Linked DNA regions of Saccharomyces cerevisiae S288C. The gene in region 2 interacts genetically with the main gene of each other region. Each region holds a gene or a part of one and is shown on either strand. Other genes may lie near its edges.

Region 1 (5,957 bases), on a different chromosome or scaffold from region 2:
TCATTTATTGCAATCAAATTGATATTGTTTTCATTAGATATGGTTTCAATTTGTGATTGTATTTCATCTATTAATGACATGATCTTCTCATTTGTTAGGGCAATGTCTGAACAAATTATATTTTGAAATTTTTTAATAGAGGTCAATACTGGATTTGATGCGATTGTGTTATCATCGCCACAGGTTTCACAAATGGTTTGTGATATCTTGTTTAAAAATTCATTGATGGGCAAACTTCTCAGTTTGGAGGATATGTCCATGTTCATTCCGCGTGATAGACTGATTAAATCGTTAGTAAAGCTTTCATTGTTCTGAGAAACCGTTTTCAAAGTGTTTTCAGCATTATGAGCGAGGGATGCTATTGAGTCGGAATGAATTTTATTAACTACGATATCTGTTTCGTTGAAAATAGAGGCCGTCTTCTGCCAGATATCTTGATCCAACTTAGATTGTTTATCTTTTAGGTTATCGATACATTTGTTAAGTTCGTCGTGGAATTCACTACGCGTCCTGGAAACGTGATCCTGAAAATATCGCTTCATTTCAGCCAACTGTTGGTTGAATTGGTTAGAAATCCTGCGCTCATTGATCAGATCGTTTTTCAGTTTTTTTATTTCTAAATCTTGCTCTTTAATTAATTTCGATGATCCTGACTGCTGGTTTTCTATTAAAACATTCATACTATTCAAGTTAGTGGTGCAATTTTGCGATATTTCGTTTATGGAAGTTAGAATTGAACTGCCTATCGAATCAAGACAGCTTTTAATATCGTTTTGTAAATTTTTTAGAAATTGTTGATGTGATTGGTAGATTTCATTCAAATCTTTACGATAGTGAGAAGTAGAATCACTCTGAAATATTTCCAATGAAGTCGAAATACTACGCACCAGTTCGTTCATCTGATTCATCAATAAGTTAGTAGTAATGTTTAATAACGATTTGAGAGTAGAATCGTGTTTCGCCTTATGGGTATTTACGTTCCTGGTTAGTTCTTCGGTGACGCCTTTGATAACTTCGGAACATTTAGAGTTATAATTATTTAAAGAGCCCTGTAAAGTGTTCAAAGTCTGTAAAACTTGTTGAGAGATTTTTAATTGCATGTTCTGGTTCGTATTATACTGTTTTTGAGAATTTTCTAGTGAAAAATCTCTCTGTTGTATGACTTCATTCATTAGTTCGAGATTAGTATGGTGAATTTTTTGGATTTCCGAGTAAAAGTTAGAAAAATCGACATTAAAATTCTGTATTATGGCAATTAGTTTTTCCTTTTCAGACTGTAAAAGATTATTGATATCTAATTGGTTCAGGTAGTTTTCTTTGAATTTTTTAATTTGTTCTCGCAGGTTATGTATTTTTAGATTTTGCTCATCAATCAAGATAGAATTGCTCTCGTAAAGGTCCAACTGATCTTGAGTTATAAATATACCTTGTTTGTTTCTTGAATTTTTCAAATCATTTCTTAATTTTTCAATCTCTTGAATGTAGTCTTTGAGACATGTATCCTTCGATAAAGACTGATTTACTTGTGGAGTATTCTTAATTGATTTGGCTCTCGTTGCATATTCTAGCGTACTTGCAGTCTCTTCCATGGATATTTTCGCAGGTGATATAGTTGCGATAATGCATGTTTTCGTCATACCACCTAAAGAGTCTTGTAGCAATCTTGTTAGCTTAGATTCTCTGTAAGGTATATGGTTAGAATGATCAACGAGTGCGTTGATAACACGGCCTAGTGTTAGCAGCGATTTGTTTATTAGGCCAGCTTCTTGAGCCCTTTTATTCTCCGCACCCGATCTGTTGATGTTTTCACTGCCTGCCAAATCCACCAAATTCAATTTGCCAATTTTAACAAAATTTTTGTTTTGTCCATGGTCTTTGCTATCTTGCTCAACTATGTTTGTTGTGATTGTAAAGACGGTGTGAGACCTTGATGAAAGATCGTTGCATTTAGTAGCGGCCACTTTCCTTTTTAACGAACCCTGCATTAGCAAATTCAAGCCTTCGTGTGCAGAGTTAATAAAGATTTCCTGCATCCCCTTGACCATGATGGATGAATTATTGTTGTTATTGTCAAAAATACGAATCTGCCTCTTGGGATCGTTGACTGCAGGATCATCGTCCTCACTATCAGAGAGCAGATCTTTCAAATTTTCATTGTACAACTCTAAAAAGGATATTTTTACGGAGTACTCTTTATTTAAGGAGCTCAATTCTTTAAACAAATCGACCAGAACCCGTGGTATGATACCTGCATGCTCTCCTAATAATAGATTATCGGTAGATTGCACATCACCGAGAATATTTATATCGCCAGACATAGTGTAGGTTTTACCTGTTCCCGTTTGACCGTATGCAAATATTGTACAATTGTACCCGTGCAACATTTCCTTAATGTAGTTTTTTGCAGTGGCATTAAACACTGTTTCCTGGTCAGATTCTGCGCCGAACACCTGATCAAATTGGTAAGTTTTCTTCGAGGACGAATACGATTGGTGAGAACCGTTGGACAGAATGATTTCTTTCCCTTGTGGGCCTAGTGTAGATATAACTACACTACTTTTTTCCTCTATTTCTCGCTTATTACGCGATCTGCACCTTACATATACATGTATATTGGAGTCTGAAGTGGCAGCACCATTGTTACAGGTGGGCGGCGTTAGAGTGTGCATCCCATTTGAAAGACTTGGAGATGGAGCATGTGCAATGGTCCTCCTCTTGTTCGCTTCGAACTGGGCGGTGCGGCGGTTGGGCAAGGAAGAACGAGCCATGATTGTTTAACTATCTCGCCATATTTAGTGAGGGAAGCGCGAACTGTCGTTGATTGTTTATGTGTTTATTTTATGTTTATCGTTCTTAGAGGGTGGCGCGCACTGTGCGCGCATATGTGGGCCATACGCAGACATATATAAAGAACTAAGAAAAGGTGAAATGGGACTCTACGATGGCGCTAATGGTAAGGTCTCTTTTCTATTTGCCTAATTCAGATACAATATATAATTGCCAACCTCAAAGAAGAAGAATTATGGGCATATTGACCTTCTCCGGTTTCCCTCCCGCGCTCTCGTATCCGTCTGCATTTGACCTCGAGCAAGCGCTCCACTATGTCTATATGTTTACCAGTAAAACTTCTTAACGTTTGTGATATTTTTTGAACTTCAACCACATTCAGTATGCGTGTGTATATAAAGATATTCCTGATAGCACTATGTTTATCTTTATACAATATACAAAAGGTCACCCAGGACGAGCAGCGCGGCTATTTTTCTATCATTCCGTGAATAGCGACCAACGGTCGGCGGCTATTTTTTTTTTTGCAATTTTTTCGGGATGGGTTCCCCGGCAAAAGCTAGCCCCGGAGATTTTTAATTACGTAAAGAAACAAGGGGCCGGATGTTGCTGCTATTGGTATATAAAGAGAGAAGGAGAGATATAGAAAATTGTGCTTCTAGATTCTCGCAGTAGGATGAGATAAATTTCAAAGAAGCAGGAAGCAAAGGATGTTTAGTAGAATTTGTAGCGCTCAATTAAAGAGGACGGCATGGACCCTTCCTAAGCAGGCTCACTTGCAATCACAGACGATTAAAACATTTGCCACAGCACCTATTCTGTGCAAACAATTCAAACAAAGTGATCAACCAAGACTAAGAATAAACTCTGATGCTCCTAACTTTGATGCTGACACAACGGTTGGTAAAATCAATTTTTACGACTACTTGGGCGACTCTTGGGGGGTCTTGTTTTCTCACCCAGCAGATTTCACCCCTGTCTGCACCACCGAAGTCAGCGCATTCGCCAAATTGAAGCCGGAATTCGACAAGAGAAATGTTAAATTGATCGGGCTTTCAGTGGAAGATGTTGAGTCCCACGAAAAATGGATTCAAGACATCAAGGAAATAGCAAAGGTTAAAAATGTTGGTTTCCCAATAATTGGTGACACTTTTAGAAACGTGGCATTCCTATATGATATGGTAGATGCCGAAGGATTCAAAAATATCAATGATGGGTCACTGAAGACCGTGAGGTCTGTTTTCGTCATCGATCCCAAGAAGAAGATTAGACTGATTTTTACCTACCCTTCCACCGTCGGAAGAAACACTTCTGAAGTGTTAAGGGTAATCGACGCCTTGCAATTGACTGACAAGGAGGGCGTAGTAACTCCAATTAATTGGCAGCCAGCTGACGATGTCATTATTCCTCCCTCTGTCTCCAATGATGAGGCGAAGGCTAAATTTGGTCAATTTAATGAAATTAAACCCTATTTAAGATTCACCAAGTCGAAATAAGCTTTGAAATAAACGACTTTACTATATACAGGTATATGAAGTATCTCTAACTAAAACTTTTATCTATCTTTCATTCTTATTATATCTCATCTCGTACGAAGGGCCGCTCATTGGATCATTTTTCTTTACATACCGTAAAGGAATGGCGTTAAAAATATATATATGAAAATGCATGTAATAAACTCTCTGCAGAAACCTTAATGTCAAAGGTCCCGTATACAGATTATATTGGCTCTGCGTATACGCATTCTCGTCATGGTGAAGGATAATCGAGATTCTGACCAAGACCAAGATTTTAGTTCTGCTCACATGAAAAGACAACCGGAGCAGCAACAGTTGCAACAGCACCAGTTCCCAAGTAAGAAACAACGAATATCTCACCATGATGACAGTCATCAAATCAACCATAGACCAGTTACCTCATGTACACATTGTAGACAGCACAAAATCAAATGCGATGCTAGTCAAAATTTCCCTCATCCTTGCTCCAGATGCGAAAAAATTGGTCTCCACTGTGAAATCAATCCTCAATTCAGGCCTAAGAAGGGCTCACAGTTGCAACTACTGAGACAAGATGTGGATGAAATCAAATCTAAACTCGATACTCTTCTGGCCAATGACAGCGTTTTCGTTCATCTTTTACAACAGATTCCCATGGGCAATAGCCTTTTGAATAAGCTCAATCTGCATCCAACTCCAACTCCGGGTACTATTATCCCTAACCCAGATTCTTCTCCTTCCTCAGGTTCTCCAACTTCTTCCGCGGCTCAACGAGATTCTAAGGTTTCAGTTCAAACTTATTTGTCCAGGGAACCCCAACTCTTACAAGCAAATCAGGGCAGCAATACGAATAAATTTAAAGCAAATAATGAAGCATCTTCTCACATGACGTTGCGCGCATCTTCTTTAGCGCAAGATTCGAAAGGCTTGGTTGCAACAGAGCCAAATAAGCTGCCCCCGCTGCTAAATGACTCAGCATTGCCTAATAATTCAAAAGAATCTTTACCTCCTGCTTTGCAAATGGCTTTTTATAAGAACAACTCTGCAGGTAACACTCCGAACGGCCCCTTCTCTCCAATTCAAAAAACATATTCCCCTCATACTACGTCGACCACCGTTACAACGACAACAAATCAACCACCATTTGCAGCAACAAGCCACGTAGCAACAAATAACAATGCAGATAGGACGAAGACGCCGGTAGTAGCCACCACCACGACTATGCCATTATTGCCTTCGCCGCATGCAAATGTAGATGAGTTTGTACTGGGCGATATTAGTATTTCCATTGAAAAAGCGAATAGATTACACCATATTTTCGTGACTAGGTATCTGCCGTATTTTCCTATTATGTATTCCAATAACGCCACCGAATTATACTCCCAATCTCAGTTGCTTTTCTGGACCGTGATGTTGACGGCATGTCTGTCTGATCCTGAACCGACGATGTATTGCAAGCTAAGCTCTTTGATCAAGCAACTTGCCATAGAGACCTGCTGGATAAGAACACCTAGATCCACACATATTTCGCAAGCTTTGTTAATATTGTGCATTTGGCCTTTGCCTAACCAAAAAGTCCTAGATGATTGTTCTTACCGTTTTGTAGGATTAGCAAAGTCACTGTCTTATCAATTAGGTTTGCACAGAGGTGAATTCATTTCTGAATTCACAAGA
Region 2 (5,702 bases):
GCGGGAATTAGCTTGCTGCCACCCTCACCTCACTAACGCTGCGGTGTGCGGATACTTCATGCTATTTATAGACGCGCGTGTCGGAATCAGCACGCGCAAGAACCAAATGGGAAAATCGGAATGGGTCCAGAACTGCTTTGAGTGCTGGCTATTGGCGTCTGATTTCCGTTTTGGGAATCCTTTGCCGCGCGCCCCTCTCAAAACTCCGCACAAGTCCCAGAAAGCGGGAAAGAAATAAAACGCCACCAAAAAAAAAAAAATAAAAGCCAATCCTCGAAGCGTGGGTGGTAGGCCCTGGATTATCCCGTACAAGTATTTCTCAGGAGTAAAAAAACCGTTTGTTTTGGAATTCCCCATTTCGCGGCCACCTACGCCGCTATCTTTGCAACAACTATCTGCGATAACTCAGCAAATTTTGCATATTCGTGTTGCAGTATTGCGATAATGGGAGTCTTACTTCCAACATAACGGCAGAAAGAAATGTGAGAAAATTTTGCATCCTTTGCCTCCGTTCAAGTATATAAAGTCGGCATGCTTGATAATCTTTCTTTCCATCCTACATTGTTCTAATTATTCTTATTCTCCTTTATTCTTTCCTAACATACCAAGAAATTAATCTTCTGTCATTCGCTTAAACACTATATCAATAATGCAATTTTCTACTGTCGCTTCTATCGCCGCTGTCGCCGCTGTCGCTTCTGCCGCTGCTAACGTTACCACTGCTACTGTCAGCCAAGAATCTACCACTTTGGTCACCATCACTTCTTGTGAAGACCACGTCTGTTCTGAAACTGTCTCCCCAGCTTTGGTTTCCACCGCTACCGTCACCGTCGATGACGTTATCACTCAATACACCACCTGGTGCCCATTGACCACTGAAGCCCCAAAGAACGGTACTTCTACTGCTGCTCCAGTTACCTCTACTGAAGCTCCAAAGAACACCACCTCTGCTGCTCCAACTCACTCTGTCACCTCTTACACTGGTGCTGCTGCTAAGGCTTTGCCAGCTGCTGGTGCTTTGTTGGCTGGTGCCGCTGCTTTGTTGTTGTAAACTTAGTTTATTATTATTTATACATTCTAAATTTTTTATAAACTTTTTTGGCATTTAACAAATATATAACAATTGGGATTTAGTAGAAATTCTTTTAATTTCTTCTTTTTTTTTTTAATCTATATTTATTCTTTTTCTTTAATTTTGTTCGAAACGCATATAATGTTTTTATTGATTTTGTTTCAGGTTCCTGAACCTCGCGGAGTTCCTATTTTACTGTTGTTTTTTTTCAAAACACAGGGGTACCTTGAAGTATACGCAGTGCCTCTTAGCCAAGGATAATATAAACACACTAGAACAAAAAAAAAATACTCCTTGTACAGAATCGTTTTCTATTTTGAATTTTTTTTATATAAACATGGTTTTATTGTCTATTACATAGCATCTACAAATGAGCCAAGACACTTTCGACTGAGGAAACGGTCACATCGGTACCTGGGTTGGTTTCCTTGGCAGCGTAAGTAACGATACCGTTTTCAACAACCATGGCCCATCTACCACTCCAGTAAACACCGTCACCGACGGCTAATTCGAAACCAATGGATTTGGTGAAAGCACAGCCTGGGTCGGAGGCAAACTTGATGTGTGTGGTGTCCTTAACACCTAAACTCTTAGCCCACGCTTGGTTAGCGAACGGGTTGTCAACAGTAACAACGATCACTTGGTCAACTTCCTTTTCCTTAACTAATTCATCCAAGTAGTTGATGTAACCTGGAATATGGCTGACAGTACAGGTTGGGGAGAAAGCAGCTGGAGCACCGGTAATGATAACCTTCTTGTTTTCAGAAATTAATTTGGACCATTCAACTGTTTGTGGCATCTTACAAGATTCACTGTCAGCATCACTTTGGCTGATAGCAATGTATTGGAATTTGTAGTCGCCAGCTGGGAATTTCTTGTTAACTAAGTCAGACATGTTTTGTTGTGGTTATTGGTAGTACTTGTGTTGTTCTGGTTTGTTGAAATTTCGTTATAAAGAAACGGTATATGCACAATTGGCAAGGGAGAGGAAATTGTGCTCCTTTATATAATGTTTCGTTTATGCTTTTCCCTTACATCTCGTCCTTAATTTTCCACCCCTTTATTTTTCATTTAACCTCTCAACAATATGTGAATACCGTCCGGAAGGGGTGTGGAAAAAGAAAAAGAATGATACAGAAGAAAATCAAAAGATGATATTCAACTTCATCACCAAATACTGACCTTTTTGGCCAGAGCTCCCCGTATAATTACAAATCAGAAAAAATCCGCGCTCACTACCTTAACGGAAGGAAATATTCCACATGTCGGATTAATTTTTCTCTGGTCCCATGACCATGTGCCGAAATCTTTTCAGTGACGTCAGGACCGGTTTTTCCGAGAGCCCCACAGGGGACGCCGATGATTTAGGGTTCTTTTCTTGATTACTAATAGACAACATAAGCGCAATAGATCGAGGCCAAGGTGGTGGTTTATAAATTGTATTACCTTAAAGGCTCATTATTAGCTTGAACACGAATATCCAAAGAACACGAACAACTTCAGGACGTGGATAGACAAGTGTAAAGTCACTCACACGCACGCTCATATCAGATGTCTGGCCAAAAGGGCGAGATCGTGGTTTATACAAAAGAGTTAGAAACTACCCCCGAGCTTTTACCAAACCATGAAGTTTTCAAGATTAGGATTGGCCAAAAGCTATTTGAGATCTCAGGTGCTACATTGAATTCGGATGCGCCCAATTTTTTCACCCAATTCTTCAATACGCACGATAAAAATACGATTCTATTTGTTGATAGATCGGAAGACGTGTTCATCATAATATACAGACATTTACAAGGTTATTTTCCCGATATTAAGAACGAAGTACAATTTACCTGTCTTTTCGCGGACGCATTATATTTTCAGTTACCCAAGTTAGTTAAACTCATAAAAGAATACGACTACCACTTCACTAATATTGGAGGTGTTCCCTTTAAGGTACCAAAATCATTATTCCATGAAGAAGGGAACCGGTTGAACTATTTTGAAACGATTTCTCGCATATCTTATGAGGAAATTGAGAAGTGGGAGTCAAATAAGAAGCCGGGCTTTCCACCTTTATTACCACCCTCATATATTGCAAGGTCCCCAGAATTTTTCCGAGATATATTATCTTTACTGGGCGGTTCCAAATTAGAACTGTCTGAGGAAAGAACCGCATCTCTGATAAAAGAGTGTCGTTATTACCGTCTCAACAGGTTGGAGCAGGAATTAGTGCGGGCAAAAATTATATATAATCCCTTAACTAATTGTCAAGAAGTTTGCATAGCTCTTGATAGCGTCTCCAAGAAGGGTGTAACCATTGAAAGGTTAACATCACTTCATACCGGAAACCAATCTTTAGCGGTAAGCAGTTGTCTCAATGGAACTGAGGGTGAAAAAGCCGCTACTGGATTTCATAAAACCGAGACTGATTCAGGCAACAATGATGAATATGAACCTCCAACAAAAAAGGTAAAACATTGTATTGAAAGACACTGGAGCATGTTAAAATACCAAAGGCCTTATATCGATACAGTTTCGCACGATCTTATTTTCCAATTACACTCTAACCAGTGCAAAATAATATTCAACAAAAAGAATAAGACTGTTCATGTAGACCTATCCAGAGAGGCTGCAGTGTTGTTTGAAAACAAGTTCTCGGATGTTTTATTGGAAAACCCAGATTTTAAAATTGATCTGTCCGAATATAAGGTCAAACTTCGTGACAGTCAAATGCAAGTTGAATCCCACTTAATTATTCCTGCATGTGTCTCCATTTGTGACTTGACGGTAAATGGCGCAAAATGCTGTAATATTTTCTCATTAGTTAACGACTCCAAATGTAAAGGGAGGGTCTTGGATTGCACCAATTTGAAAGTTTTGAATTGCGTTCATGGTTTGAAACTACACTTATCGAAATCCATGTGGAAGCTAGGTACAAATAATGGAAGAATCATTCTCGTTGCTGTAAAAGCCGAAACCTTCTCTGGGACGAAGGAATATTGCAAAATGATTGATTTTCTGTGAAATCTTCAATAAAAAAACCTTTCTCTTCTGTTTGACATATATAATTTAAATGGATCGTTCAGAGTATGATCGTACCATTGCATAGCTGTAACAATATTCACATTCATAAAGCACATAAGTACTAATAGCATTCTTACGCACTAAAATGAATCACGCGGTCTTCTATGTTCAACCGATAGCAAAGGCTTAGGTTCGAACGCGAGACAATTTTCTATTCGAGATGTTAGTTATCTATATCATACAGGAAGATAAAGATACACTGCTGTACGCTGGGTATCTTCAAATGTACAAGTCACGATACTTCACTCGATGATAAAAAAAAAACGAAATAAATCTCTTTGTAAAACGGTTCATCCTTATGCAGGGGAACTGCTGATCATCTCTGTATTGTTTCAAATTGACCAAATGTCCACGAAGGGTTACTTCGCGAACACATAGTTGCGAAAAAAACATTTATTTATAGTAGCCGAAAATAGTGGACGAAATACTTTTACCACTGTTCATGCCAGGCTGTGTTGAAACTGTTGCAATGAAACTCTAAAGTATCATCGATTCAGTAGTATTCATGCTACTGGTATAGTATCACATGAGGTCCAGGAAGATGACATAAAAATTGAGAAACAGTCATTAAGTCTAATGGAAGCTGAAATGCAAGGATTGATAATGTAATAGGATAATGAATTATATAAAACTAAAAGAGGAATAATCTCAATACTATTATGTAGAAATATATCGATTCCATTGTGAGCATTCCTATATCCTCGGAGAGAACATTTAGTATCTTCTATATACCTAATATTATTGCGTTTACGAACAATGGAATCCCAACAATTATCAAGTTATTCCCCCAATTCTCAGACAGTCATGGTAGCAATATAAATTCTGAAATTATATTGTGTACAAATATACGTATAGCATTTATTAGTGCTGGAGATTATAAATAACAGAACTATTATGGAGAATTATCGATCATACTTTACCGTTTAGATGTTTTATGTTGTCTTTTAATGCCGCATGCAATACTTTTTTAGATTAAACTTAAAATTAACTTGTTCTGGTAATTACTGACGGATAACAGGTACTTCTTTAAATAGGATTATGGTGCTTCAGCTATCATCAAGTTTGGTACATCCTGAACCCAATTTCACGATATTTTAATATTCAGATATTGAAAAGGTGCATTATTATTGTTCGCTTAAATACAGAAAATAGGAAAGCAATACGAAATCATTACTTTTATCATGTTGTTTCTTAACGTAATTACTTAATAAAACTCATGTGAACCGTATGAAATGTAATAACTATATATGTCTGCTCAACTTTGAATATGATCACATTATTTTTCCCACTTGTTTTGACTTGGAGAAATACCTATTTTGACTTTAACAACGTCCATCGTTGCTATTGCATCTTGAGAACTATCATGCTCGCCATTTTGGATTTTTCTACTCAAAACTTCAAACGCTAAGTTCTTCAAAGAAACCTTAAACTTTGTTCTTGAATAAAGTATTGCAGTATCTATAACCTTATTATGAAATAGCCTCATGACGTTCAGATCGTTCTCTAGTCCGTGCCCTATAAGAATACTATTTTTATTTATTAAGTTTTCGGATAAAAAAAC
Region 3 (5,663 bases), on a different chromosome or scaffold from region 2:
TTGGGGGAGGACATATTACGGAAACAGGGTGTCCAAAAAACACCTATTGCGCTTATAACTAGTACATTGCTCAAATGAGGATTTTTACAAGGCTTAGCCCAGCCCGTCTTGTATTGACAAAGTTAAGCACCTCAAGCTCACACCAAAGTGGGCCCTAAGGGTGATCTGTATGCCAAGGCTAGCCTAATAGGAAAACCACCACCGGCAGTTACAACCTCCGTTAGCAACAGAGGGGGTGCCTCGCAATAGCCAAGGATAAGCCCCTCCTTGTTACTATGACAATCGCACTTTTCATGCTACGGCCATTTACTAATGATTTTCACCTCGTACCCGCTCGCTCCAGTATGGTGAAAATTTAGGGGAAGTGGATAACGTTGAAATACTATGGCAGAATCCTTATATATAAAACGATCGTTGATATTTTTTACAACAACCTAAAATGAGAGGGAAAAGGTAAATCAAGGAAGCATTATGTCGTTGCCAATTATCAAAGTCCATTGGTTGGACCATTCCAGAGCGTTCAGACTTTTGTGGTTATTAGACCATTTGAACCTTGAATATGAAATTGTCCCTTATAAAAGAGATGCTAACTTCCGTGCTCCACCAGAATTAAAGAAAATTCACCCATTAGGAAGATCTCCATTGTTAGAAGTTCAAGACAGAGAAACTGGTAAGAAGAAGATACTTGCCGAGTCCGGTTTCATCTTCCAATATGTCTTGCAGCATTTTGATCATTCACACGTTTTAATGAGCGAAGATGCTGATATTGCAGACCAGATTAACTATTATCTGTTTTATGTAGAAGGTTCCTTGCAACCACCTTTAATGATTGAGTTCATTCTTTCAAAGGTGAAGGATTCTGGTATGCCCTTCCCTATTTCGTACTTGGCAAGAAAAGTGGCAGACAAGATCAGTCAGGCATACTCTAGTGGTGAAGTTAAGAACCAGTTCGACTTTGTGGAGGGTGAAATTTCCAAAAATAACGGCTACCTGGTTGATGGGAAGTTGAGCGGTGCCGATATCTTGATGTCTTTCCCTTTGCAGATGGCGTTTGAAAGAAAGTTTGCCGCACCAGAGGATTATCCTGCCATTTCCAAATGGTTAAAGACCATAACCTCAGAGGAGTCGTATGCTGCTTCTAAGGAAAAGGCGCGTGCTTTAGGTAGCAATTTCTAAACCGTTTTGTTGCGTTCGTACGGCACTAGCAGCCGCGTAATTCGTTCACACACTTCAATACATATGTATGTATACGTATATAGTCTGTTGCGACACATAATAATTGACAGGTTTGACTAGCGAGTATGTATTATCAGGAAATATAAAAGAAAACTAAGCTTTACCTAACTTCAAAAGAAGAAGACCTGCCTATTCCACCTCTTTCAAAAGTTCTTCGATGGTTTCGGACAACGAAGAAGGTTTGGTTAGTGAAGAGTATCTTTCGTACACTTTACCCTTTTTATCGACTAAGAATTTTTCAAAATTCCATTTGATACCTCTCAAGCCCAACATACCGGATTTTTGGCTCTTCAAAAACTTGTAAACAGGGTCCTCATTGCCACCATTAACGTCAATTTTTTTCATAATGGGGAAAGTCACGCCATAGTTCAGTTGGCAGAACTGGGCAATTTCTTCATCAGAGCCAGGTTCTTGGTGGCCAAACTGGTTGCATGGGAACCCGATGATGGTAAATCCTTCGTCCTTATAACGTTTGTACAAGGCCTCTAGTTCTTTGTATTGAGGAGTGAATCCACATTTGGAGGCAACATTAACGATAAGCACCACTTTTCCCTTTAATTGGTCGAAGGGGAATGGTTGGCCTTTCTTGTCAACAGGTGCTAGCTTATAGAATTCTGACATGATAAACTTGAATACTTTACGAGATGACAGCTTGGAAGAGAGAGACGTGGAAAGCTCTGATGCTGTTTTTATTACTATTGCTTTTCCGATATTAAGGGAGCATACTGTTCCTCATGGTTTTTTCCCTCTTTTTTTCACTTTTTGACCTTTTTCGTAAAGTGGCTAAAAACGATAATGCAGAAAAAGAAGAAGGAATACAGGAAATAAGGGCTGTCGCGAACAGCAACAAGAGAAACAACTTATAATCTGTCAAAGAAGGGATATGGGCAAGGTTATTTTGATTACAGGTGCCTCCCGTGGGATTGGCCTGCAATTGGTGAAAACTGTTATCGAAGAGGACGATGAATGCATCGTCTACGGCGTAGCAAGAACGGAAGCTGGTCTGCAGTCTTTGCAAAGAGAATACGGTGCAGACAAATTTGTCTATCGTGTCCTCGACATCACGGACAGGTCTCGAATGGAAGCGTTGGTGGAGGAAATCCGGCAAAAGCATGGAAAACTGGACGGTATTGTCGCAAATGCGGGGATGCTAGAACCGGTGAAGTCCATCTCCCAGTCCAACTCCGAACACGACATCAAGCAGTGGGAACGGCTGTTCGATGTGAACTTTTTCAGCATTGTCTCTTTGGTGGCACTGTGTTTACCCCTCTTGAAGAGCTCGCCATTTGTAGGCAACATTGTCTTCGTCAGCTCTGGAGCCAGTGTGAAACCATATAACGGATGGTCGGCGTACGGCTGCTCGAAAGCCGCATTAAACCACTTTGCCATGGACATTGCCAGTGAAGAGCCCAGTGATAAAGTGCGTGCCGTGTGTATTGCACCGGGCGTCGTTGACACGCAGATGCAGAAAGATATTAGGGAAACATTGGGTCCTCAGGGCATGACACCCAAGGCTCTCGAGAGGTTTACTCAATTGTACAAGACTTCGTCACTGCTGGACCCAAAGGTGCCTGCGGCGGTACTAGCGCAACTCGTCCTGAAAGGTATTCCCGACTCTTTGAACGGTCAATATCTCCGCTACAACGATGAGCGACTGGGGCCGGTGCAGGGCTAGTACTAAACTATATTATGTAAAAGGGTATAGTTATAGTTTTTAGCTACTAAACTTTTATTGGGTTTGCGATGAGCGACAGTTTTGTGCGGCCATTTCTGTGCCAAGAACCGGATTGAATGTATCACCGAAGGAATTCCGCGGTGTTTTCAAAGAAATGAAGAGAAGACAGTATGAACATTAACTTTTGCATATATATACGTAAACGAAAAAGATCAAGTGCAATGGAAGAATATTGTACCTAAAAAAAAGGGTCTAACTACAGCGTGTAACAGGTTAAAAAAACATGGGTAAAGTTATTTTAGTTACAGGTGTTTCCAGAGGTATCGGTAAGTCCATCGTGGATGTTCTTTTCAGTTTGGACAAGGACACGGTTGTTTACGGTGTAGCCAGGTCTGAGGCACCCTTGAAGAAGTTGAAAGAGAAGTATGGCGACAGGTTTTTTTACGTTGTCGGTGATATTACCGAGGATTCCGTGTTGAAGCAGTTGGTTAACGCTGCTGTTAAGGGCCACGGCAAGATCGACTCCTTGGTTGCCAACGCTGGTGTCCTAGAGCCCGTGCAAAATGTCAACGAGATTGATGTCAACGCTTGGAAGAAGCTGTATGACATCAACTTCTTCAGCATTGTTTCCTTGGTTGGCATTGCGTTACCTGAATTGAAGAAGACCAACGGTAACGTGGTATTCGTCAGTTCGGACGCCTGTAACATGTACTTCAGCAGTTGGGGAGCTTACGGTTCTTCAAAAGCCGCTCTGAACCACTTCGCCATGACTCTGGCCAACGAGGAAAGGCAAGTGAAAGCCATTGCCGTCGCCCCAGGTATTGTGGACACAGATATGCAAGTTAACATTAGGGAGAACGTGGGGCCTTCCTCCATGAGTGCAGAGCAATTGAAGATGTTTAGAGGTTTAAAGGAGAATAACCAGTTGCTGGATAGCTCTGTGCCAGCTACAGTTTATGCCAAATTGGCCCTTCATGGTATTCCTGACGGTGTTAATGGACAGTACTTGAGCTATAATGACCCTGCCTTGGCGGACTTTATGCCTTGAGGATAGCAGGTACATATAAATTGTTACATACTAAGTCGATGAGTCAAAAAAGACTCTTATACATTTATACATTTTGCATTATTATTTTTTTTTTCCAGCGGAATTTGGAATTCCGCTCTCAACCGCCAAAATTCCCCTGCGATTTCAGCGACAAAGAGTCATAAAGTCATCCTCGAGAAACCACGATGAAATATATAAAAAGCCCATCTTCCCTGACGGAAACTGGTATTTTAGGAGGCATACCATAAGATAACAACGAAAACGCTTTATTTTTCACACAACCGCAAAAATGGCTGCCGTCACATTACATCTAAGAGCTGAAACTAAACCCCTAGAGGCACGTGCTGCCTTAACACCTACCACGGTTAAAAAACTGATAGCTAAGGGCTTCAAAATATATGTAGAGGACAGTCCACAATCTACTTTCAATATTAACGAATATCGTCAAGCAGGTGCCATTATAGTGCCTGCAGGTTCATGGAAAACCGCTCCACGCGACAGAATCATTATAGGTTTGAAGGAAATGCCTGAAACCGATACTTTCCCTCTAGTCCACGAACACATCCAGTTTGCTCACTGCTACAAAGACCAAGCTGGGTGGCAAAATGTCCTTATGAGATTTATTAAGGGACACGGTACTCTATATGATTTGGAATTTTTGGAAAATGACCAAGGTAGAAGAGTTGCTGCCTTTGGATTTTACGCTGGGTTCGCAGGTGCAGCCCTTGGTGTAAGAGACTGGGCATTCAAGCAAACGCATTCTGACGATGAAGACTTGCCTGCAGTGTCGCCTTACCCCAATGAAAAGGCATTGGTTAAAGATGTTACCAAAGATTATAAAGAAGCCTTAGCCACCGGAGCCAGAAAGCCAACCGTGTTAATCATTGGTGCGCTAGGAAGATGTGGTTCCGGTGCCATCGATCTGTTGCACAAAGTTGGTATTCCAGATGCTAACATATTAAAATGGGATATCAAAGAAACTTCCCGTGGTGGTCCCTTTGACGAAATTCCACAAGCTGATATTTTTATCAATTGTATATATCTATCGAAGCCAATTGCTCCTTTCACTAACATGGAGAAACTGAATAATCCTAACAGAAGACTAAGGACCGTGGTGGACGTATCAGCAGACACTACCAACCCTCACAACCCCATCCCAATATACACTGTGGCTACTGTGTTTAACAAACCTACCGTTCTGGTACCTACCACTGCCGGGCCTAAATTATCTGTCATCTCTATTGATCACTTGCCTTCTTTGCTGCCAAGAGAAGCTTCAGAATTTTTCTCTCATGATCTCTTACCATCTTTAGAGCTCCTACCTCAAAGAAAAACTGCTCCTGTCTGGGTTAGAGCCAAGAAATTGTTCGATAGACATTGCGCTCGTGTTAAAAGATCTTCAAGATTGTAGTTTACATTTAAAGTATATACATTATCGTTACGCTGACATTTACAAGTTTAATTTTTTTTTGACTTTTTTTAAATGACTTTCTCTTCTTTTAAGTGTACTGTCTTTTCATTATACACACATATATATATATATATACGTAAAAAAGCAGACTAACTGACAATTAAATCGTTCAACATTCTTGTTGTTTGCAGGTTTGATAATTTTGACCTGAATGCAGTTTTCATCCTTTCATTTCCCAGCAAGAACTTTGCTAATGCAATTCTCAAGTACTCTGAGATTAATTCGCTTATATG

The links.
Region 1: mutations in AHP1 (region 2) and PRX1 impair growth when combined (synthetic growth defect), as found in Saccharomyces cerevisiae (one study listed by BioGRID).
Region 3: mutations in AHP1 (region 2) and HYR1 are lethal when combined (synthetic lethality), as found in Saccharomyces cerevisiae (2 studies listed by BioGRID, with this or other methods).

What each region holds. Positions count from the first base shown.
Region 1 is NC_001134.8:98,697-104,653, reverse strand, and holds PRX1 (thioredoxin peroxidase PRX1), read left to right. Parts: upstream 1-3,497; coding exon 3,498-4,283; downstream 4,284-5,957. Other genes in the region: KIP1 (Kip1p), read right to left, coding at 1-2,768; SEF1 (Sef1p), read left to right, coding at 4,539-5,957. UniProt on the Saccharomyces cerevisiae protein: Thiol-specific peroxidase that catalyzes the reduction of hydrogen peroxide and organic hydroperoxides to water and alcohols, respectively.
Region 2 is NC_001144.5:365,046-370,747, reverse strand, and holds AHP1 (thioredoxin peroxidase AHP1), read right to left. Parts: upstream 1,968-5,702; coding exon 1,437-1,967; downstream 1-1,436. Other genes in the region: YLR111W (uncharacterized protein), read right to left, coding at 25-357; CCW12 (Ccw12p), read left to right, coding at 650-1,051; YLR108C (uncharacterized protein), read left to right, coding at 2,624-4,081; REX3 (RNA exonuclease), read right to left, coding at 5,418-5,702. UniProt on the Saccharomyces cerevisiae protein: Thiol-specific peroxidase that catalyzes the reduction of hydrogen peroxide and organic hydroperoxides to water and alcohols, respectively.
Region 3 is NC_001141.2:419,322-424,984, reverse strand, and holds HYR1 (peroxiredoxin HYR1), read right to left. Parts: upstream 1,858-5,663; coding exon 1,366-1,857; downstream 1-1,365. Other genes in the region: GTT1 (bifunctional glutathione transferase/peroxidase), read left to right, coding at 472-1,176; sepiapterin reductase family protein IRC24, read left to right, coding at 2,120-2,911; NRE1 (sepiapterin reductase family protein), read left to right, coding at 3,195-3,959; LYS1 (saccharopine dehydrogenase (NAD+, L-lysine-forming)), read left to right, coding at 4,249-5,370; MGA2 (Mga2p), read right to left, coding at 5,520-5,663. UniProt on the Saccharomyces cerevisiae protein: Involved in oxidative stress response and redox homeostasis. Functions as a sensor and transducer of hydroperoxide stress.